3 linked regions of the Stegostoma tigrinum genome follow. The protein of the gene in region 1 purifies or fractionates together with the protein of each later gene. This does not show direct contact. Links are inferred from orthologs where the notes say so. Each region holds a gene or a part of one and is shown on either strand. Other genes may lie near its edges.

Region 1 (8,555 bases):
ACATTTCAAACACTATGTGCCTTTCGTTCTCTTCTTTTAAAGGGACGTTTTGAGTACATTGGAGGTGGCTCAGAGGAGACTGGCTGACAGGATAGCAGAATGAGTGCAAACTACTCTACTTTGAAACATCAACTCTGTTTCTCTCTCTACAGACGCTGCTGGGACCTGCTGAGCTTCTCCAGCATTCTCTGTCTTTAGTTCAGGATCTGCACTTCAGAGCATATGCACGAGAGTGGGACAGAAGATATCGACCAGCAAATACAGATGGCTATTTGCTGGGAGCACCGTGCACAGTTCCGACCTCCGTATCCCTCAGTTAGGCCCTCACTGGGAGCACCGTGCACAGTTCCGGTCTCTATATCCCTCAGTTAGACCCACACTGGGAGCACCGTGCACAGTTCCTGTCTCTATATCCCTCAGTCAGACCCACACTGGGAGCACCGTGCACAGTTCCTTTCTCTATATCCCTCAGTTAGACCCACACTGGGAGCACCGTGCACAGTTCCTGTCTCTATATCCCTCAGTCAGACCCACACTGGGAGCACCGTGCACAGTTCCAGTCTCTATATCCCTCAGTTGGCTAACACTTTGTGGAAGTGTGGGATACCGTGCACCTACTCATGTGCGTGGTTAAGGGAGGGAGTGGGGCAGATGGAGCAGGACAAGAGGAGATCAGCTCTAAGATCAGCAAGCACAGGGATAGATGCGATGGGTTGAGTGGCGTGACTGCAGACAGGAAAACAAGTTGTCAAGACAGAATTCAAGAGCTCTCCTGACCAGAGGTGATTGGGTGGCGGGGAGAAAGAGGGGCCAGGAGGGAGATTCTCCTTCCCAACAGCCTCAGGCTTGGTCTGTCTTTCCACACTCACCCCTTCCCGGAATCCATCAAACTTGCAGAGGTTGCCATTCTTTAGCTGGAGCCTGATGCCATAACCCCTGGCAACACGCCGCCACACTCCATCACTGACATCCGAGGCTTGGACACTGTCCACTTTCCCGGTCTTACTGTTCTTGAAGACAATTGTCTGACGGCTCAGACGCAGGCGTCCATCGATCTGCACAGGGTTGTGGGTAGGAACAGCTCACAGGTTACAACACAATCCCTGACAGAACTCCCTCCTCACCCTCACCACCAGGGACTCAGACTTCAGGCAGGGCAGTGAAGGTGGTATTCGGTACGCTGGCCTTTACTGTTCCATGAATCAAGCGAGTATACCGATTGGGAGGTTATGTTACAGCTGTACAGTGAGCCTACTTTTGCAATACTGCATTCAATTCTGGGCTCCCTGCTATAGGAAGGATGGTGTGAAACTCGAAAGGGTTCAGAAACAATCTGCAAGGATATTGCTGGGTTTGGAAGGTTTGAGCTCCTGGGAGAGGCGGAATAGGCTGGGGCTATTTTCCCTGTACTGTTGGAGGCTGAGGGTGACCATATAGAGGTTTATAAAATCATCAGGGGTATCGACAGGGTAAATAGCCAAGGTCTTTTCCCCATGACGGGGGGGGGGGGGGGGGGTCCTAAACTAGAGGAGCATAGGTTTAAGGTGGGAGGGGAAAGATTTAAAAGGGGCCTAAGGGGCAACTTTTTTTTTGCACAGAGTGGCACAGGTATGGAACGAGCTGCCAGAGGAAGTGGAGGAGGCCGGTACAATGACAACATTTAAAAGGCATCTGGATGGGTCTATGAATAGGAAGGGTTTAAAGGGGTATGGGCCAAATACTGGCAAATGGGACTAGATTGATTTAGGACATCTGGTCCCCGTGGACAAGTTGTACCAAAGGGTCTGTTTCTATGCTGTACATCTCTATGACTTCAGGTCACGTGCAGCTTCTCTGGGAGGGTTTTCCATCGAGCACAAAGGCTCAGGGGGAGATGCTCACTATCATGAGGGGTCTCCCCTGGAGTGGGGTAGGGTGCAGAGAGGAGACTATGGGACAGAGATCAGGAAGTGGTCATTATGCAAATTTCCAGCTCAGCCACTCACCACCCCAAGGACAGATGTGACCCCAACCCCCATTCAAACGGAGATGATGACCTAGTGGTGGTATCATGAGCCAACTAATCCAGAGATCTGGAGTCAAATCAGCAGCAGATGGTGGTTCATCCGGTTCTCTAGTCTCCTTCAGGGAAAGAAATCTGCTATCGTCACCTGGTCTGGCCTAGACACACAGCAACGTGGCTGACTCTCAACGGTTAGGATCAGGCAAGAAATGCTGACACAGCTAATCATGCCCACATCCCATCAACGAATCCAAAAAATATCTAAGATCATACCAAGGCCACCCCCCAGGTGGATATCACCCAGACAGTGTATCTTCCACCACCTCATCCCACCAAAGACAGGCATTCACTTCTGCACAGTCCTGACGTTGAGATTTCCTCTCCAGCCACGACCCAACCCCCCCTTACCATCTTGCGAGTACATACCATTGTTCCTTTCAACTCCTGGTAGATGTCATTGTATTCGAGGATGTCAGAGCTCGCCATGTTGCCCTATACGGGAAAGGACCCCACCTCGTATCAGCAGCTATACGGTCAGGCTGCCAGCAGGGCTGCAAAGGGGACAGAGCAGCAGCAGCAGCAGCAGGCACTGGGCAGTAGCTACAACCTGCTCCTTTCACAGGTGACCCTTTGCCCAAGGGCCCCCCTGCTCTAAATCAAAGGCCTGTTTGACTCTCTCCGACTGGGCACCCAACTACAAATGGTCTTTCTCCGTCTGGGATCTAAGTACCTGGGCAAGCCCCTGCTCCAAAACACTGGGTTCCCAGTCTCCCCGGAGACCTCCTCCTGTTCCTGCTGGGCCTGGTGAACCCCCTCTGGCCCTGGGGGAAGGGGGCCTGCTGAGACCCCCTCTGGCCCTGGAGGGGGGGGGTGGAAGAAGGGGCCTGCTGAGACGCCCTCACCTGGGGGGGGGGGAAAGAAGGGGCCTGATGACCCCCTCTCACCTGGGGGGAGGGGCCTAGTGACCCCCCTCTCACCTGGGGGGAGGGGCCTAGTGACCCCCTCTGGCCCTGGGGGGGGGGGAAGAAGGGGCCTGATGACCCCCTCTCACCTGGGGGGAGGGGCCTAGTGACCCCCCCTCTCACCTGGGGGAACGGGCCTAGTGACCCCCGCTCTGGCCCTGGGGGAGGGGTCTAGTGACCCCCCTCTCACCTGGGGGAGGGGCCTAGTGACCCCCCTCTCACCTGGGGGGAGGGGCCTAGTGACCCCCCTCTCACCTGGGGGGAGGGGCCTAGTGACCCCCCTCTCACCTGGGGGGAGGGGCCTAGTGACCCCCCTCTCACCTGGGGGGAGGGGCCTAGTGACCCCCCTCTCACCTGGGGGGAGGGGCCTAGTGACCCCCCTCTCACCTGGGGGAGGGGCCTAGTGACCCCCCCTCTCACCTGGGGGGGAGGGGCCTAGTGACCCCCCCTCTCACCTGGGGGGAGGGGCCTAGTGACCCCCCTCTCACCTGGGGGGAGGGGCCTAGTGACCCCCTCTCACCTGGGGGGAGGGGCCTAGTGACCCCCCCTCTCACCTGGGGGGAGGGGCCTAGTGACCCCCCTCTCACCTGGGGGGAGGGGCCTAGTGACCCCCCCTCTCACCTAGGGGAGGGGCCTAATGACCCCCGCTCTGGCCCTGGGGGAGGGGCCTAGTGACCCCGCAGCCGTTTGTCCTCTTCTCCCCCTCAGCTGCCCCCTACCCCCCGACCCGGACCCGGACCCGGACCCGGACCCGGACGATGCGGGAGGAGACGCTGCCACTCGGCCCGGAGCTGATGCGCGCCCGCTTCTACCCGCCAGCACCACGTGAGCGCCAAGAGCAGAACGGAACCGGAAACCGCCGACCTCCCGGCCGTAAACACGATGGAGGGGGTCACGTCAGCGCCGGACCGGAACCGGAAACGAATGCCCGAGGCTCATCCAACAATAAATACGTTGGGGTCACAGAAGCACCGCCCCAGACCGGAAGCGGAAATCGGAGGGTGGGTTCAGACACGGTTGAGCGTTTATAAAAAGTTTTTTTTCGGTATATTTTATCTCTTTTTCTCTCTCTCTCCCCCTCTGGCTCCTTCTGTTCATTTAAAGTGGAACTAGAAGCCGGAGCAGTCCCTCTGGTTTATTTTTCTCTTCATGACCTTCCTTCCCGCGCTCAGGTTTGGAGGGGTCAGAGGTCAGGTACAATGTCAGAATTTTATTTAAAAATTAATAAACAAGAAAAAAAAACAAATTAATGATCATAAATAACAGTAAATAATAAACAATAACGTTGTAAATGACCAAAGATGACGAATAACAGTAGACAATAACAAATGTACAATGAATGATTAAAATAAACAAAAAAAGAATAAATATTGATTCATAATTTTAAATAATAGATAATGAACAAACAATAACCAAAAATAAACATATAGCAAATCGTGAGATAGTCATTAATAGTAAATAATAAACAGTAAATATAAATAACAACGGTAAACATTAATAAAAAATATACAGTAAATAGTGTATTATATACAAATATTAATAAACACTAAGAAATAAATACTCAGTGAATAACATACAATAACAATTCTAAATAATTAATAGTAAAATGAAGAATGAATAACTATTGAGTATATAAAATATGGGAAATAAATAATTATAATAAACCATTCAATAAATGCAGAGTAAATAATGATCAACGATAATAAACTGTGAACAAAAAAATAGTAATATAATAATGGTAAATAATACCTGTGAATAATTAATTGAAATGACAATCGCGCTAAATAATAAATTACTAAATAAACAAATAATAGAGTCCTACAGCTGTACAGTACAGAAACAGACCCTTCGCTCCAACCCATACATGCTGACCAGATATCCTAAATTAATCTAGTCCCATTTGCCAGTATTTGGCCCATAGCCCTCCAAACCCTTCCTATTCATGTAACTATCCAGATGCCTTTTAAATGTTGTGAGAGATTAGAAATGTTGTTTCTGCAGATAATGATGAATGGTGTGGTCTTGCAAAAGAGGACCATTACATAAATAGTCACAAGATTTTGTAGCAGAAGTTTATTATTAACCAACGATTAGGTTTTGCAAAGGCGGCAGTTAGCACGACCACCTGCATAACTTGTCCTTTCCAGTCTAACCCAATAAGGAAAGAATAAACAGGGGGATGGGGTTTTAGGCCGGCAGAAAAGGGGAACAATAAACAAGGGCGGCCCGATAGGATGGAGAATGATAGGATAAGATTGGACCAATGGGACCAGGGAGGTGTGATTCCGCAACTTGTAAACTGTGTAAGAATGCTTCACATGCTTTGTAGTGTGCGCCTGTATAGCATGATCGCACAGAATAAAATTGTTCTTGTTTCCAAGGCTTTGTCTCAGGCTGAGTTTGTGAGCAAGTTTTGGTTCTCACAATGTTTTAATTGTACCAGCTTCCACCACTTCCTCTGGCAGCTCATTCCATACACACACCACTCTCTGCACGAAAAAGTTGACCATTAGGTCCCTTTTAAATCTTTGCCCTCTCACCTTAAACTAATGCCCTCTGGTTTTGGACTCCCCTATCCTGGGGAAAAGATCTTGACTGTTCGCCCTATCCATGCCCCTCATGATTTTATAAACCTCTATAAGGTCACCCCCTCAGCCTCTGATGCTCCAGTGGAAAACACCCCAGCCTGTTCAGCCTCTCCCTACAGCTTAAACCCTCAAACCACAGCAACATCCTTGTGAAACTTTTCTGAACTCTTTCACATTTAACAATATCCTTCCGATAGCAAGGAGACCAGAAATAAGGACAGTATTCCAAAAATGGCCTAACTGACAATCTGTAAAGACAACCAACAACGTGACCTCCAAACTCCGAGACTCAACACACTGACCAATAAAGGCAAGTGTACTAAACATCTTCTTCACTATCCTGTCTATTTGCAACTCTAGGTACTATGAACCTGCACTGCAAGGTCTCTTTGTTTGGCAACATTCCCCAGGACCTTACTATTAACCCTGTAAGTCCTTCCCTATTGAACAATGCTAAACAACAATAAGTATTTATAATAATGAACAATAAATGTAAACGAAAACAGTATGAACATCCTAAATTTTAAATAATGGCTAACAATACAGATGTGGTAAATTCTAGTAAAGGATAAACAAATACATGGTAGACAATAAATATAAAAAAACTAAATGTTAAATAACAATAAATAATATGCAAGAAATGAATGACAAATAATGTTAAACTACACAAAATAAATATGCAATAATAAATAATTATGAATAATAACAAATATTTAACACTATTAAACAAGTATCTAATAATAATTATTACCAACAATAAGTAATAGACAATAAATAATAATAATTATGTTGAATGACAAACAACAAACATTAACTTAATAGAAAATAATGATGAAGTGACGCGTGTTGTAAATTACGTTCCCTCTCTGGGAGCATGGACTTCATAGTCAGACCCTCACATAAGTGAGTTCTACTCCACAGAACCCTTCTCTTCCTACGTTGACTCAATTTTTCTCCCCTTGTCCAGCCCCTTGCCACTTACATCCGCAATTCCTCTGACCTTTATGTCAGTTTCGGAATTTCTAGTTTGCATGCTCCAGCTGCCTCCTCTTTCCAATGGACGTGCAATCCTTCTACACATCCACACCCCGGTGGTCTCAGGGTTCTCCGCTTCTTGGAGAAAAGGCCTAAACCGTCCCCACCCACCAACACCCTCCATTGCTTGTCCTCACCCTCAACAACTCTTTCAACTCCTCTCATTTTCTTCAGGTTAGAGGGATGGCCATGGGTACCTGCATCGGACCTAGTTATGCCTGAATATTCATGGGGCACGTGGAACATTCCTTGTTCCAGTCCTATTCCGGCCCGCACCCACAACTCTTTGTCTTGTATCTTGATGATATCATCAGTGCTGCCTCCCTCTCTGGTCCGGAATGGGAAATGTTTAATCTATTTGCTTATACTTTCCACCCAACCCTCACTTTCAACTGGTCCATCCTGCTTTCCCTCCCTCAACATCCGTTTCTATTTCTGCGGACAGACTGGCCACTAATATCTAAGTACAAACCAACCAATTTCCACCGCTACCTGACTATACATCCTCACAGCCTAGTTCCTGTAAAGACTCCAATCCATTCTCCCGTTTCCTCTCTCTCTATTGCATCTGTTCTGGACCAAACAAAACAAATTTCTGGTTCAATGGTCACGCAGTTATCATGGATGTTGATACCGGCACAGAATCATCAGTGATTGCAGAACCAGACTTTAACAAGATCTGAGATAATAAAATGTGAGGCTGGATGAACACAGCAGGCCAAGCAGCATCTCAGGAGCACAAAAGCTGACGTTTCGGGCCTAGACCCTTCATCAGAGAGGGTCTAGGCCCGAAACGTCAGCTTTTGTGCTCCTGAGATGCTGCTTGGCCTGCTGTGTTCATCCAGCCTCACATTTTATTATCTTGGAATCTCCAGCATCTGCAGTTCCCATTATCTCTTTAACAAGATCTGCTCTGGACTATTTGTGCAAACCCTTGGACGGACTGAGATGATGTGGTGGGGAACCGTCACAAAGTAGGGTTACGACTTCACTTCCAGTCTCCTTCAATAAGCAGTTAGTGCAGTTATCACTGCACTGATTGTAGTAAAAGGTTCAGGCTCAACCTTGATGGGGGTGAAATTGAGAAAGATCCACCTTGATTGGCTCACATTTTTCGATTGAAAAATGGCTGCCTGAGTGAAGTCTGAAGTAAACACCCAGAAATTTTTCAGGAAAGTCCAGGGACTGTGGCAGGAGCCAAGGCAAACTTACACATTTGGAGCAGGAAACAATCCCACAATCCTGCAAGGGCCCACCCGGTGCCTTAGGGGTGAAGGTCGAAGCAGAAACCAGGAGGCTGGGAAGTGAGGGAATTATTAAACCAGCCCAGGGTGTGGAATGGGCAGCACCGGTCGTACTGATTGTGAAGCTGATAGATCAGTTCACATTTGCATGTGGGTGGGGGTGGGATGTGTGTGCCTGGAGCTGTCCTTCAGAAAGCAGGAAATGAGTCACACCTACTGCAAATACAACTAGATAAGGAGTCCCAGAAACTAATACCCATACAGGTTTGTCCCAATACACGAGGCTGCCGTTTGGGGTAACATCAGCCTGCATCCTTTCCTAGTGGGCCATGGAGAACATTTATAGAATCCCTACAGTGTGGAAATGGGCCCTTCAGCCCAACAAGTCCACACCGACTCAGAGCATCCCACCCAGACCCGTCCCCTATAACCCACTGAATCTACACACCCCTGAACACTATGGGACAATTTAGCATGGCCAATCCACCTAGCCTGCACATCCATGGACTGTGGGAGAAAACCGGTGCACCCGGTGGAAACCCACACAAACACGGGGAGAACACGCAAACTCCACACAGACAGTCACCCGGGGTGGATTCGAAACCAGGCCCCTGGTGGGCCATGGAGAATGTCTAGCCCAGGTTGCCATTTACTTGCTAATAACAGGGAAGATCAATAAAGACAAAGCGCTTAAATGCTTCCCCTAGGTGGGTGTAATAGTCAT
Region 2 (7,636 bases), on another chromosome or scaffold:
ACCGAAGATGGAGAGAAAAGAAGATAGGTGGAGAGAGTATAGTTGGGGAGGTAGGGAGGGGATAGGTCAGTCCAGGGAAGACGGACAGGTCAAGGAGGTGGGATGAGATTAGTAGGTAGATGGGGGTGCGAGGAAGGGATGGGTGAGAGGAAGAACAGGTTAGGGAGGCAGAGACAGGTTGGACTGGTTTTGGGATGCGGGGGGGGGGGGGGGGAAGAGCTGGGCTGGTTGTGTGGTGCAGTGGGTGGAGGGGGCGAACTGGGCTGGTTTAGGGATGCAGTTGGGGAAGGGGAGATTTTGAAGCTGGTGAAGTCCACATTGATACCATTAGGCTGCGGGGTTCCCAGGCGGAATATGAGTTGCTGTTCCTGCAACGTTCGGGTGGCATCACTGTGGCACTGCAGGAGGCCCATGATGGATATGTCATCTAAAGAATGGGAGCGGGAGTGGAAATGGTCCATTCATGACCTCATCACCTCAGGGGACCTCCCACCCACAGCCTCCAAACTTATTATTCCCCAAACCCGCTCGGCCCGTTTCTATCTCCTTCCCAAAATCCACAAACCTGCCTTCCCTGGTCGACCCATCGTCTCAGCCTGCTCCTGCCCCACCGAACTCATCTCCACCTATCTGGACTCCATTTTCTCCCCTTTGGTCCAGGAACTCCCCACCTACGTCCGTGACACCACCCACGCCCTCCACCTCCTCCAGGACTTCCAATTCCCTGGCCCCCAACACCTCATCTTCACCATGGACGTCCAGTCCCTATACACCTGCATTCCGCATGCAGATGGCCTCAAGGCCCTCCGCTTCTTCCTGTCCCGCAGGCCTGACCAGTCCCCCTCCACCGACACCCTCATCCGCCTAGCTGAACTCGTCCTCACACTCAACAACTTCTCTTTTGACTCCTCCCACTTCCTACAGACTAAGGGGGTGGCCATGGGCACCCGCATGGGCCCCAGCTATGCCTGCCTCTTTGAGGGTTACGTGGAACAGTCCCTCTTCCGCACCTACACAGGCCCCAAACCCCACCTCTTCCTCCGGTACATTGATGACTGTATCGGCGCCGCCTCTTGCTCCCCAGAGGAGCTCGAACAGTTCATCCACTTCACCAACACCTTCCACCCCAACTTTCAGTTCACCTGGGCCATCTCCAGCACATCCCTCACCTTTCTGGACCTCTCAGTCTCCGTCTCAGGCAACCAGCTTGGAACTGATGTCCATTTCAAGCCCACCGACTCCCACAGCTACCTAGAATACACCTCCTCCCCCCCACCCACCCTCCTGCAAAAATTAGATCCCCTATTCCCAATTCCTCCGCCTCTGCTCCCACGATAAGACATTCCACTCCCGCACATCCCAGATGTCCAAGTTCTTCAAGGACCGCAACTTTCCCCCCCACAGTGATCGAGAACGCCCTTGACCGCGTCTCCCGTATTTCCCGCTACACATCCCTCACACCCCGCCCCCGCCACAACCGCCCAAAGAGGATCCCCCTCGTTCTCACACACCACCCTACCAACCTCCGGATACAACGCATCATCCTCCGACACTTCCGCCATTTACAATCCGACCCCACCACCCAAGACATTTTTCCATCCCCTCCCCTGTCTGCTTTCCAGAGAGACCACTCTCTCCGTGACTCCCTTGTTCGCTCCACACTGCCCTCCAACCCCACCACACCCGGCACCTTCCCCTGCAACTGCAGGAAATGCTACACTTGCCCCCACACCTCCTCCCTCACCCCTATCCCAGGCCCCAAGATGACATTCCACATTAAGCAGAGGTTCACCTGCACATCTGCCAATGTGGTATACTGCATCCACTGTACCCGGTGCGGCTTCCTCTACATTGGGGAAACCAAGCGGAGGCTTGGGGACCGCTTTGCAGAACACCACCGCTCAGTTCGCAACAAACAACTGCACCTCCCAGTCGCAAACCATTTCCACTCCCCCTCCCATTCTTTAGATGGCATGTCCATCATGGGCCTCCTGCACTGCCACAATGATGCCACCCGAAGGTTGCAGGAACAGCAACTCATATTCCACCTGGGAACCCTGCAGCCTAATGGTATCAATGTGGACTTCACCAGTTTCAAAATCTCCCCTTCCCCAACTGCATCCCTAAACCAGCCCAGTTCGCCCCCTCCACCCACTGCACCACACAACCAGCCCAGCTCTTCCCCCCACTGTATCCCAAAACCAGTCCAACCTGTCTCTGCACCCTAACCGGTTCTTCCTCTCACCCATCCCTTCCTCCCACCCCAAGCCGCACCCCCATCTACCTACTAATCTCATCCCACCTCCTTGACCTGTCCGTCTTCCCTGGACTGACCTATCCCCTCCCTACCTATACTCTCTCCACCTATCTTCTTTTCTCTCCATCTTCGGTCCGCCTCCCCCTCTCTCCCTATTTATTCCAGTCCCCTCTCCCCATCCCCCTCTCTGATGAAGGGTCTAGGCCCGAAACGTCAGCTTTTGTGCTCCTGAGATGCTGCTTGGCCTGCTGTGTTCACCCAGCCTCACATTTTATTATCCTGGAATTCTCCAGCATCTGCAGTTCCCATTATCTCTAAATATAATTCAGTCCTAATTTTCTCTGTATTCTACCATAATAATAATGCCAATGGTTGGTTTAAAGTCATCACAAGTAGGTGAGGAACGAGTGCGACGATTATGAATTTTCATTATGATCATGAGCACATTAATTTATAAAGAGGTTTCCGATTAGAATATTTTATGTTAGCACGCATTACCAAAATTAAACTTGTGTTCTTCAAACAAAAGACTGCGTATACTGAAAACAAATAGAAACGGTTAAAAGGTGGTGGTGGAGGTACCTAGTTCACGTTCCGAGTCCGAGTCCAATTTGACTGTTAAGAGTCAAATTGGACTCGAAAACAAAACCTGATTTCTTCCCTCGAGGTCCAAACCTCAAAATTTTAAACTTCTACAGTTGGTGCTGGAAGGGTAGCCATTCCCTGAAACCATGAGTGACTCGTGACAAAGTGCGCTGTGCGGAAGCTCTGACAACCATATCACGCACAGTCTGCAACGAGTCCGGAGACCGTCACCTCAAAGGAGGGGGAATCATCGGCGGTCACCAAACCCCACTCTCCGCCATCCCTCACCCGCTTCCCCGCCATCAAACCCGGGCGCCACTCACCGTAAGCCAGCTGCCGGGTTCCACGAACCGCCGCTGGCCTCCGACCCGGGATCCGGGACAACAAAATGGCGTCACCCCCTTTCCCCAAAGACAGCAACTTCCACAGGAAGCGGGGGAAAAGAAGTCTCCACACCTTCCTTACATTTTACAAACTACCAATTGCTGTAAAGGCCGGAAATCATTTACATTTCAGTAATGTACTTCTACTGTAATTTTAAAATACTAACACCAAGATTTATTAGGTTTTACCTCAACTTTGTTTTGTTCTCCAGCTTCCTACATCCACCCCCACCTCCAACCAGTTGGTTTGGTCAAAGACAATCTCGGATGAAGGCGTGAGGTGCTACTGAATCAACAACTGCTTTCATTTATAGAGCGCTTTTAATTCAGCAAAGTGAAAAAGCATCACAGTAATATTATGAAACGAAATTGTGCACAATCATGGAAAGTACTATTAATTCAGATAAACAAAAAAAATTGGCCAAGAAAATGGGGTTCTTGTACCACTATCTCCCATATATTTTCCACATTTCCGCTCTTTCCCTTCCTACAGAGAGCCACACACGCTTCCTTTTCCGTCTTCCCCCAAATTTTCACATTAAACGTTACATGGCTGTAACACATCTTCCCCTTTCAACTGCCCTGCGGACCATTCCAAAACGTCCTCTTCCCCTTTCCTCCCGTCTTTCAAGTAAACAGGGAGATCAAACGCTTGCCCTTTTACCTAATCTCCCTTAAACAGTATCCAAGGCCATCCATTTAGACGAAATAGGATTGCCTGTGTCAATTCTAATTTTGTACACTCGGAAATCGAACGAGGTTAAATAATCTTGTGGAACATTTCGTTCAGTTCACAAGCATATGAGACCAAATTAGCAATCATTAGTCATTTTCAATCTCCATCTTGTGATGTGTTACCGTCTATGAGCCTCCTGCTGTTCCAACGTAGCTCAAGGAGTCTAATCTTGGAGTATGTTGCATATAGGGAATGAACTGAGGGGTAAGTGGTAGAGGAGGGTACAATTACAACATTTAAAATGCATTTGGACAGGTTCATGAATGGCAAAAGTTTAGGGGGCCTGTTTGTCCGGAAATGAGCCAAATTCAGGCAAATGGAACTAGTTTAGTTTGGGAAAACTGGTCAGAATGGACGAGTTAGAGTGAAAGATCTGTTTCTGTGCTGTGTGACTGAATCTTTCCATTGGGCCCTTTCCAGTATGAAAATACCTCAACAATTTCGGTGTATAATTTCAAAGGCTTATCTAAATATTTGTTTTATTTTTCTGTTATCCCTTTATTTGCTTTTCTTACTTTTTGAATTTTCCTGGTTTGATGAAATGTTATCTCTTTCCCTGGAAGCCTGTTGAATATATCAAAATTTTTTTGTGTTTATTTCAAATTTTCTGTAACTGCAGTATTTTACTTTTTTTTAAACATGTCTCTTAAAAGAGGAAAGAGAGGTGGGCCAGAACAGCAACAGATGAGCTCACGTGGACCAGAATCAAGCAATGTTACAAGGGAGATCTTAATGATGATCATGGTCAGCAGTGCCTCTATGATGGCCCACCCACCTCCAAAGCATAAAATTTCAAAACTTAGTTCCACTTGGGGGCTTGAGTACAAAAATCAAGGCCCATATTCCAGGGCCAAATACTGAGGGAGTGCTTCAGTATTGAAGGTGCAGTCATAGAATGAGATGTTAAAACTGATTTTCTACCTGTTCAGATGGAATTTTTAAATTCCTTGATGGAATATGGGTGTCACTGGCTAGGGTGGCATTTATTTCTCATCCCAGATTACCCTAGAGAAAGTGTGGTGAGTAGCTTTCTTGAACTTGCTGTTCCTGAGGTGTAGGGGGGTTACACACAACTGTTAAGAAGGGAATATCAGTTGATGACCCAGTGACAGTGAAGGAATGACAATATTGTTCCAAGTTAGGATCATTGCAAGAGCAAAGTTTTTGGCGAAGATCTGTAGCTCTGATGGGTGAGGTTGTTAACTTGCTTGCCGAGCTGGCCTGTTCTCGTTCAGACATTTCATCAGCATGCTAGGTGACGTTATCAGTGGAGCCTCCGAGGAAGTGGTGTTATTCTAGTCCGCTTGGATTTTATACTGTTTGGTCCATTATGATGAGTAAACTACGATTAAGGTACTGTTAAGGAAATTTGATGAGTTACTGCGCTGCATCTTGTAGATGCACACTGCTGACACTGCATCAGCAGTGAGGTGGGTGAGTGTTGTACATGATGGATGGGGTTCCAGTGAAGTGGACTGCTTTGTTCTCTATGGTGTCAAGCTTCTCAAGTGATACTGGAACTGTGGTGAAGCAGAGAAGAGTATTCTATCACACTCTAGACTTGTGACTTGGAGACGGTGGAAAGAGGTTACTGATGAGACAGGAAGTGAGTGATTCACTGCAGAATTCCTGGCCTCTGACCTGTTCTTGTAGCCACAATATTTATATTGTATTCCAGCACTTCTTGATTATTCATAAGTTTTACGTTGGTTCTGTTCTCAATTTTGCTTTGGAGCTGTGAACTGGAAATTTTGAGCTGAAGATGACTAGTGGCCTTTGTGGAACAGCTTGTGGGTAAGAGAAAAAGAACAAACCTACTAAGATTTGTTTGTTTGAGAGGTTAGGCCTAGAGACTAACTGAAGGATAACTTTTGATTAAAAGGGTTCCTACCACCACAAAGACCCCAGAAGGAGCATTGTGTTTAAACAGATAGCAGAACTTGGCTATTAACCTGCTCAGTACCTGGGAAGTGATGATGTATTCAAGCAGATAGCAGATGCTGAATAGTAATTGAGGTTTCAGGAAAAGTTGGGCATTCTCTCAGGGCAAAGTTGAAGATTTTTTTAAAAAATGTATTTTCTGGGGAGATGGGTTTGGCAGCTAGTGACACAGAATGAAGATTTGAAAGCTCCCAGACTAACCCCCCCCCACACACTATGGAAGCTGAAAGAGTAGAAAGCTGAGCTACCTTTAACTGAGTGAACTGAAAAGGTAGCTATGATCGGTGTTCCCAAAAAAACAGCTAGGCAGTCCATATTTATGTCCATGAAACAACACTATCAAACATTTAAGTCATCAGGACAGTTTCATTATTTTCTTTATCCATTAACTATTGGTTTATCTGTCTGCCTTTAGTGTGGATGTAGGCTATGAACAAATGTTTCAGGGTAAAAGCTTATACATCAATTAGATGACTTTTTTAATCACAAATTATTGTACATTTTAAGATATAAAACTGGTGTCTGGAATTAATTATTCACAAAGTCAGAGATTTTTTATTCAAAAATCTGGTTAAGAGCCATTGCACTATCTGTCCGGGTATTTCGAACGGTTAAATTTTACTGTCTGGTGAATAGAGTTGGAAAGACTGATTTGGTTCAGACTTGTCTCCACATCGTAACAATTGCTTTTGCAGTTCAATTTCTGGCCAATTGTAACTGTGTAGGACATTGTCCCCAGTTATTTAAATTACCAACACTCAACGATTTGATTTCCTTGCCTTGTTTTGAGATGGTCAATGCTTGGCACTTGTGTGGAAAAAAATGTTACATACTCAAGTCTGGATAACGGCCAGGTCATGCTGCACGTGGAAATAGACTGCTTCAGTACTTGAGTCATGAATGATACTGAGCATTCTGAAGCGGAACCGTTCATTATTGATGGAAAAGGATGGAAGGATGTAGAAGAAATTATTTTGAGAAAAAGTAGGAATAATCCTGGTTGGGTGGTCAATATTTATACCTCTGTGAGCACTGAAAACAAATTCTGGTCTTTATCAAATTGCTGTTTGAGAGAGATCACTAAGCAAATATCAGCCACTGCATTTTCATTACGATATTTCAGAAACAACTTCACTGATTGTAAAGCAGTTTGAGACATCTGGTGACTGCAAAAGCAGATGTAAATGCAAGTTCTGTTTGTTAAAAATGGTATAGAATTTTATTAGGGCATTTGTCCTGAGAGGGTTAGCTCGAAAGTTTTGAAAAAGAAAGACGCCACCCAATGATATAAATGACTGTCTTTGGGATAAGTTAGTTAATTGTTCCAGTTTGTAATTAGTCAGTTCTACAAACCACAGTCATGTAGCATAGACCTAGTTACTGTGTTGCAACTGATACAGTCTTACTTACGTTGTCACAAAGTTTACTAGTCTTAGCTAATGTAATCTAGCATCTTATGATTGTGTAATAAACTTCCTCATTGCACAAGTACATTGCGGGTTCGGCTGAAGATTTACTCATGTTTAAACCTGCATTACTAACTGTAATAAATCCTATACATCTGCATTACAAGGAGGGTTGGTGATAGCAAAATCTACACAGCGAAGATCCAATCAGAACCACATGCCAGCTGTAGGCATCTCTTATAAAATCAGAAAATGCTGGAGAAACTCAGTGGTTGTGGTAACATCCGTGGTGGGAGAAACAGGTAAAATCTTGAGTTCAATACAATAA
Region 3 (8,424 bases), on another chromosome or scaffold:
TTCCCTTCTGAATATTCAACAAGAAATAGTTAATCCACTTTCATTTGGAACAAAAGAAAGTAATTTTTCCCTTGCAGTATATTCACGGTTCAAACATCCTTTCTGTAAACATAGTAACCTTGCATGTGAACAAGAAGCATGTATTTTATAGATTTCCTGCTTGAAATTTTCTCACATGACTTTCGTACCCATGCTCAAATGAAACAATCACTGAAAGCACAGGTTTTACACTGCCCAGCAGGTATAACCAGAAAGTAATCAAATTTCCTGAAATCCACTGTCTATAATAGTCATAAAGCAACAGATTTAAAATGACAGATTAAAATACAGCAGTTATTGGTGCCAATTAAATCTTCAGTTATAAGTGAAAACACTTCAATGCATTTTGCGAAATCACTGAAGTAGCAAGACACTTTCATTTCCATGAGTAATTCCTTTGAATTTACTCTAAGGACAGTGTATCAGCTCAAGCTGAAAACTGGATTTTTTTTTAAAACTATCACCCAACTTGGTCTGCTCACTGACATATTTGGTTGGAAAAGTCCTTGGAGCCATTTCCACTTCAATAAAGTGCAACAGGACCTTTACTTACATGCACAAGCTGACATTCTGCTCCACTTCCAGTAAAGTTATGCCAATGGATTTGGAGCATCTCGGAAGAATTTCCTGGGTTATTTTGCAACATTTCTACTTCTTATAAAACTGCCCCTTGTATTCTTTATTATAAAAAAGATATTGTCAGTCTACATGCCCAACCTAAACAACCCAAAAATTGCTAAGATCCATAAGTCAATATGGATTCTGCCTAGAGGTTGACAGATTTGATGTATTCTGCTCATTCTGGAGAAACACTAGAAAACTGTTGCAATCACAAGTATAAAATATTTAGAACCATGCTTAGAAGAGTTTAATCTCCTGCAACTGTACTAGCTCTGTCAGACTAATTGAAGAGAAATCTTCATTTCAACAGTTTATCCAATTTTCCTTGAAGAGGCAAATTATTCAACTATTCACGACAAAGGATTTTACACTGATAACCCATTTTCTTAGGGTATTTTAACTGATAACCTCGCTATGAAGATTTCCACCTCAAAGAGAATGTTTTTGTTTCTCAGTATATTGGAATGTTTTCATTAGATTTATTCCTGTATTTCTTTGTACTTAAAGTAGTATTTGTTCTGTATTCTACTGCTGCCCAAAATATGAAGTGATATTGCCTTCAGATCACCACACAAATACACTGAAGCAAAAATGGTAACACAGGAGTATTCATTCTGAATTTTTTCTGGTATTTGATCTTTTTTATAAACAGCCAAACAAGGGGGAAAAACCTTTACATAGCCCTTTATATTGCACATACCCACCATTACAGCAGTTCAACATTACCAATCCAGGAGGCCAGATACAGCTTGAGGAACTAAACAAGGTGGAATTAAAAGTCAAAATCCAATGGGATTTATTTTGCTGGAAGTAGGGCAGAAAGCCTGTTTCTGCATGCAAAAAGTTTCCTGCTGCACTTCACAGAAGTGGAAAGGGCTTAAGTTCCACAGCTGCTAAGTGCTCATCATAACCACATTGAATCGAAGTAACTGAGGTTATGAACTGACAAGGAACAGTAAGTTATCTTTCAACAATACATCAAGACATATCTATCAAGACATTCTATCAGTATTCCAATTAATAACAAGCCTTTTTTACATCCAGTTTCAAAAGCCCTTTAAGAAAATGGATCCGTTAAAGCTGCTTTGTGATGTAACTCACATTATGATCCCACATCACAGAAGCAAATTGTTTTCATGGTTACCAAGCTGCAAAATGATCGTGAACAGATTTCAAAAGCAATACCCTGAAAGATCAGAGTGCAGTTACCTAACTGACTGGACAATCATAACCTATAGAGCTAGCCTGTCAAAAACAGATTTGCTTCAGCTAACACTATATGACCAAACACAGCGTGCTAAATCCTAATGCACCAATAATTTTGAATTCTATACCATTAACAATCTCTGGCCTACCTTATTAGCTGTAGAAAGTTTGGTCTAGATCTGAATCATCTGCAGACTTAACTTTTTCGATGTTCTCTTGGTCAACATCAGGAATAGCATCCTTCACCAAAATCCCTTACTGTAAAAAGCCTGCTCAAGACCACCTAACCAATGGTCAACCATCTTTCTATAAGATCACCTCATCATACTTGAAGACATCATTGCCACTTTACAATTCTACTCAACCTGTTAATTGGTTTTCCTAGATATCTCAACCTCAACCTCATGACTCCAGTCAATATGAGGCCATTTCAAATATACCCTCTGGAAGCTTCAAAACACCCTCAACAACTTTGACGGCGCAGTGGCAAACACGTCTTCAAACAACAGAAACCAGAGACTTGACTGTAGAAAGTAGAACGAAACAGAAGAGGTTTATTTAAATCACAGCCTCAACCACCTCACTTCTCAAAAAACTCATGTCCTCTCTGTGGCTTCAGCAAAAATTAAAATATTGAACAACTCAACTACAGGAAAAAGAACGAGAATTAATCGCAAAGTTTGTGCAGATTGCAACAACTCAATCCACGTTTATGTATCACTTTTTTGTCAATGGAACGTAATAAAACTTTCAAAGTAAAAAAAAAGTCAATCGCCTTGCGTGGATGAAAGGCTCTTTGTGGGCTGCACACGGCTTTAAAAAAAACACTCTCCAACCCTGTACCCCAAGCCACCAACCCCCATCCAGCCAACTACCATCCATCCATCCACACAGTAGATCCCAAACCAGACGCTGCAACAGCAACAAAATCAAGAACCGACCAGATGGTCGCAATGGGGAAAGGTGTGTGGCGGATGGGGGGGGGGGGGGGGGGGGGCAGGAGAAATAGGTGAGGGTCTAGAATCAGCCCACAAGGCCCGGGCCGCAGCGTAAGCCTCGGCCTGGCGCTGCCAGCAGGCGGGCGACAGAGTGCGAGCAGCCCCGGCTCCGAAACCATCCCCACTCACTTCTTCAGAATCTTCTCCTTTTTGATTCGGCTTCGCTTCTTGCGCGCTTGCAGAGCCAGAACTGGGGGGGGGGAAAAATCCGAAAGAGAAGGAAGAAGGTTAGAGCGGTAATTGAGGGTATACAAAACGGATGTTTGTGACTACACCACCCCACCGGTAAGGCCAAGCCGGCTGAAAGGCTCCCTCACCTTTTCGGGAGCTCATGTTGGAACCGGTCCCCACACAATCACCAGCGCGCAAGCGCAAACCCACTGCTTTTTCTAACTATCGTTCTCTTATCCCGCCCCTCCTCCCCACCCGGAACCACCCACCAACTACTGTTCCGACCTCTGACCGCCAGGTGGGGTGGGGGCCCGTTCCCCGGCTGCTGTTCCGACCTCCGACCGCGAGGTGGTGGGCAAACCTCCTGTTAGCACTGCCGTCAGTCGACGTTAGTTGAGGCGCTTGATATTTTTGGTTCTTCGTGTCCAAGTTTTTGGAGTGTCCTTACTTAAATCTGCAAATTCTCTTATCATTAGAGTAATTTCTGGAAATATTCAGTAGTTCAGGCGGTATTGGACTTTGTGGAATGATAGGTGCAGTAATAATATAGTTCCAAAATTGGTTGAATGACGCGGGGGGGAGAGTAATGCTTAATGGATTTTCTCCCCATCAGGCAAAGGCTTGGGATGGAATCAGTGTTGGGCCCTTTCCTTTTTGTGATGTACGTTAATGACATAGACTATGCTGTGAAGGGTATGATTTCAATATTTGCAAATCATACAAAACTTGGAAGCATTGTAAACTAGGGAGAGTAGTGTAGCACTTTCGAGAGGGATATAGACAGGGATATGTTGAATGGGCAGGTAGGTGGCAAATTCAAAATACAGGTGTAAGCAATGCATTTTTGAAGGAAGATCTGGAGAGACAACTTGAAGTAAAGGGTGCAACTCTAAAACAGTGGAAGACATGAGTAATATCCGGACAATTAAGGAGAGTCAGGGGTAGCATTGAGTATGGTAGGCATTACAAAAGAGAAAGTGCTAGAAAAGCTAGAAGGTCTAAAAATTGATAAATCTCCTGGCCCCGATGGGCTACATCCTAGAGTTCTGAGGGAGGTGGCTGAGGAAATAGTGGAGGCATTGGTTGTGATCTTTCAAAAGTCACTGGAGTCATGGATCGTCCCAGATGATTGGAAAGTTTCTGTTGTAACCCCCTTGTTTTAGAAAGGATCAAGACAAAAGATGGAAAATCATAGGCCGATTAGCCTAACCTCGATTGTTGGTAAAATTCAAGAATCCATCATTAAGGATGAGATTTCTACATTCTTGAAAGTGCAGGGCCGGATTAGAACAAGTCAGCATGGATTTAGTAAGGGGAGGTCGTGTCTGACAAACCTGTTAGAATTCTTTGAAGAGGTAACAAGTAGGTTAGACCAGGGAAACCCAGTGGATGTTATCTATCTAGACTTCCAAAAGACCTATGACAAGGTGCCTCACAGGAGGCTGCTGAGCAAGGTGAGGGCTCATGGTGTTCGAGGTGAGCTGATGGCATGGATTGAGGATTGGCTGTCTGACAGAAGGCAGAGATTAGGGATAAAAGGCTCTTTTTCGGAATGGCAACCAATGACAAGTGGTGTCCCGCAGGGTTCAGTGTTGGGGCCGCAGCTGTTCACTTTATTTATTAATGATCTGGATGAAGGGACTGGGGGCATTCTGGCAAAGTTTGCCGATGATACGAAGTTAGGTGGACAAGCAGGTAGTACTGAGGAGGTGGGGAGGCTGCAGAAAGAGTTAAGACAGTTTAGGAGAGTGGTCCAGGAAATGGCTGATGAAATTCAATGTGAGCAAATGCGAGGTCTTGCACTTTGGAAAAATGAATACAGGCATGGACAATTTTCTAAACGTTGAGAAAATTCATAAAGCTGAAGTACAAAGGAATCTGGGAATGCTGGTCCAGGATTTTCTAAAGGTTAACTTGCAGGTTGATGATTAAGAAAGTGAATGTAATGTTGTCGTTTATCTCAAGCGGTTTGGAATATAAAAGCGACGATGTGCTTCTGAGACCTTATAAAGCTCTAATTAGGCCCCATTTAGAATACTGTGTCTAATTTTGGGCCACACTGGAGAGTGTCCAGGAGAGATTCACACGGATGATCCCTAGTATGGTAGGCCTAACATACAATGAACGGCTGAGGATCCTGGGATTGTATCCATTAGAGTTTAGAAGGTTGAGGAGAAATCTAATAGAAACTTACAAGATAATGCATGGCTTAGAAAGGGTGGACGCTGGGAAGTTGTTTCTGTTACGCGGGGAGACTAGGAGCCGTGGGCACAGGCTTAGAATTAGAGGGGGTCAATTTAGAATGGAAATGAGACATTTCTTCAGCCAGAGATTGGTGGGCCTGTGGAATTCATTGCCACGGAGCGCAGTGGAGGCTGGGATGTTACGTGTCTTCAAGGCAGAGATTGATAAGTTCTTGATCTCGCAAGGAATTAAGAGTTACGGTTAGAGTATGAATAGGTGGAGCTGAAATGCCCATCAGTCATGATTAAATGGTGGAGTGGATTCGATGGGCCAACTGGCCTTACTTCCACTCCTATGTCTTATGCTCTTATGGTCTTAAAATGAGTGCAGAAGCAGAGGAACTTGGTTGTGTATGTTTTTAGTCACAAAGGGTGACCAGCTATTAAAACACACCTTTTATTTTAATCGGGGAAATAGAGTAAAGACAGGTAGGATATGCTAAACTTACATTCAGTCTCAGCTTAAGTACCATGTCTGTTTTGGGCACATAACTCACAAAATAGGCATTCACAATGAAGGCATTCGCGGAACTATAGATTATGTTTATGGGAGTTATTCCAGGAATGAGGAATTCCAGTTATGAAGATAGATGGGAGACATTGGGACTGCTTTCCTTGGAGAGGAGAAGACTGAGAGGAGATCTGAATGAAGTACTTAAGATGATGACAGCACTGGACAAAGTAAATTAGTAGAAAATGTTTCCACTCATGAAAGATTGGAGAACAAGAAGGCACGTAATTAAACTAATTAGTAAAAGAAGTAAAAGTGATATAAGTCAAGCAATGAGTAGTTAAGATCCAGAATGCACTGTCTGGAGAGTGATGGAGACAGGTTCAATTTAGATGTTTAAAAGCAAATTAGACAGAACAATGAAAAGGAACAATGTGTAGGATTTTGGTGAGAATGCAGAGAAATGACTCTAAATCAAATGCTCTCTTAGAGACCCAGTGCAGGAATGAATGGCTTCGTTCTACTCAGTAACAACTCTGTAATACTGTGGAAATAAAAACAGTTAATGTTTCAGATAAATGGTTTTGCACCAGAGCTGGGAAAAGACACCACCATCCTCTTGGCCTTCCCTTCATCGTAATATCAGAAATGAGGATGACTGCTGCTCATTGCACAATGTTCTGTATCATTTGTGACTCCTCAGATAGTGAAACAGTCCATGTCCAGATGCAGCAAGATGTGGACAACATTCAGGCTTAGGCTGACAAGTGGCAAGTAATATTTGCACTGTACAAGTTACAGGCTATAAGATATGGAGCAGAAGTAGCCCAGTTAACACATCAAGCCTGCTCCACCATTCATTGAGATCAAAACTGATCTGATAATCCTCAATTCCACTGTCCTTTTCCTTAACTCTTGATTTCCTTCCTGATTAAAAATCTATCTTCCTCTTGACTATACCTAACAACCCAGCCTCAACAGCCCTCCGCAATAAATAATTACACAGATTTGCAAGCCTCAGAGAGAAGAAATTCCTTGTCATCTCTGTTTTAAACATGTGACCCCTTATGAGAATATGCATTTTGGTCCTAGACTCTTGCACAAGGAGAAACAGCCTGTCCTATCAAGTCCCTTAAGATCAGTCTGTGTACTGATTTCTATCCCTATGGCAGGAATGAATCTATCCCACTGGCATAAATTCATTAATTAATCCATACATGTACCACAATCTGTTTACTCTCCTGACATCTGCAACATATGACATGGGGGAATCCCTGAACCTCTTCCAATGACATCTCAGTCGTACTGCCTTCATACAACTCGAAGACGCTGGAAAACTATAACTTAACATTCGCCTTTATTTCCCAACCTATATTAAATACAGATTCACCTCTAACCTTCTCTGTAAGTTCACAGCAGTGTTTTTGTCCGTGTGTTTGTCACTTTTCGTTATTTCTTTGATGTACTAAAACACTACTGTCCTTCACTCAAGAAACCACTAGAATTGGCTCTCCATTTTAAATCTGGGTTAACTAAGTTGATTGAAGTGTCATGGCTAGATGCTAAAAGAGAAGCAAAACAAAAATATATTTCTTGTGTACTTGTATATTTGTTGTGATTGACTGAAAGGAGGCCAAGAAAGGGAGAAGCTATGACCCCCTTAACTTGAGCAATAAAGTCTCTTGCCATTCTTGCAACATCACAGTGGAATTATCTCATGGCCATCAACTTTGGCTATCACTTCATCATTTCTTTTGCCCTCATCTACCTCTGTCCCTTCTTCATTTTCTGTGTTAACATATTCCTTGTCTGACCTCCAGTCTTGGATGAGCAATTATCTCTTCCAGCTATCAAGTTATCAAATTTGGCCCTGTCACAAACTCCATATCCATGACACCGACTTCATTCTCCTCCCTGGCTGTTGGTTTAAGTTGAAACAAACTGTTCAAGACCTTGGCAACCTGTTCAGTCCCTTCAGAGTTTCCAATTATATATCCTATCCTTCACAAAAAGCACTGTCAGTCTCCTTCTGATTACCTCTGACCTATTTGGCACATTCGCTTATATTATTTTTGTCACTTCTGCACACAACTCTTCTGGATAACTATGTGTCCTTCAAACTCCATAAAGTCAAGTTTATTCGGAGCTATGCTGCCTGCATCCTAAGGTGAAACTACTTAATCCCCAGCCTATCTTGCTGACTGATTCCACCCATGCCTCAAATTTAAGATTATGATCTTTACATTTAGGATTGGCCGTCATTTTGCCCTTTCCTTGCTGTATAACCTTTACTTGCTGAAAATCTATCCCCAAACTTTCCAATTTATTTGCACAAGTCTCTTGTGCATCTTCTAGTTTTGTACGCTACTATTGCCAGTCATGTCTGCAGTTGCTTAATTTCAACATTGCAGAATTCCTTTCCACATCTCTGTCCTTCAAATCCCTCCTTAAATCTAACTCTTTGGCTAAGATTATCTCCACACTTCCTAACATTTCTTTAATTTTGCTTTTATAAAATGATTTTGGCCATATTTGTTCATTTAAAGTGTTACATAAATGTGAATGTTTTTGCTGTTGCCATTCATTGTTCTTATCTTGTCCTTGAAAAAGAAAGCAAAAATGGACAAATTATCTTTTGTTACCCTGTCAAGTAATAATACATTGTTTTCGGAATGTGGTCCAAAGCAGTTGTGAT

What was found. The genes of interacting proteins can lie anywhere in the genome.
Region 2: the proteins of FACT complex subunit SSRP1-like (region 1) and dhx9 fractionate together in Homo sapiens (co-fractionation; 3 studies listed by BioGRID and IntAct, with this or other methods). This does not show direct contact. The link is inferred for Stegostoma tigrinum from reciprocal best matches to the Homo sapiens genes SSRP1 and DHX9.
Region 3: the proteins of FACT complex subunit SSRP1-like (region 1) and SRSF protein kinase 1-like fractionate together in Homo sapiens (co-fractionation; 3 studies listed by BioGRID and IntAct, with this or other methods). This does not show direct contact. The link is inferred for Stegostoma tigrinum from reciprocal best matches to the Homo sapiens genes SSRP1 and SRPK1.

The regions. Positions count from the first base shown.
Region 1 is NC_081399.1:1,281,655-1,290,209, forward strand, and holds the start of FACT complex subunit SSRP1-like, read right to left. Parts: upstream 3,394-8,555; 5' UTR 2,489-3,393; coding exon 2,429-2,488; intron 1,056-2,428; coding exon 870-1,055; intron 1-869. UniProt on the Homo sapiens protein: Component of the FACT complex, a general chromatin factor that acts to reorganize nucleosomes. The FACT complex is involved in multiple processes that require DNA as a template such as mRNA elongation, DNA replication and DNA repair.
Region 2 is NC_081361.1:44,889,508-44,897,143, reverse strand, and holds the start of dhx9 (ATP-dependent RNA helicase A), read right to left. Parts: upstream 3,277-7,636; 5' UTR 3,166-3,276; intron 1-3,165. UniProt on the Homo sapiens protein: Multifunctional ATP-dependent nucleic acid helicase that unwinds DNA and RNA in a 3' to 5' direction and that plays important roles in many processes, such as DNA replication, transcriptional activation, post-transcriptional RNA regulation, mRNA translation and RNA-mediated gene silencing.
Region 3 is NC_081374.1:21,668,969-21,677,392, forward strand, and holds the start of SRSF protein kinase 1-like, read right to left. Parts: upstream 3,277-8,424; 5' UTR 3,198-3,276; coding exon 3,182-3,197; intron 3,055-3,181; coding exon 2,994-3,054; intron 1-2,993. UniProt on the Homo sapiens protein: Serine/arginine-rich protein-specific kinase which specifically phosphorylates its substrates at serine residues located in regions rich in arginine/serine dipeptides, known as RS domains and is involved in the phosphorylation of SR splicing factors and the regulation of splicing.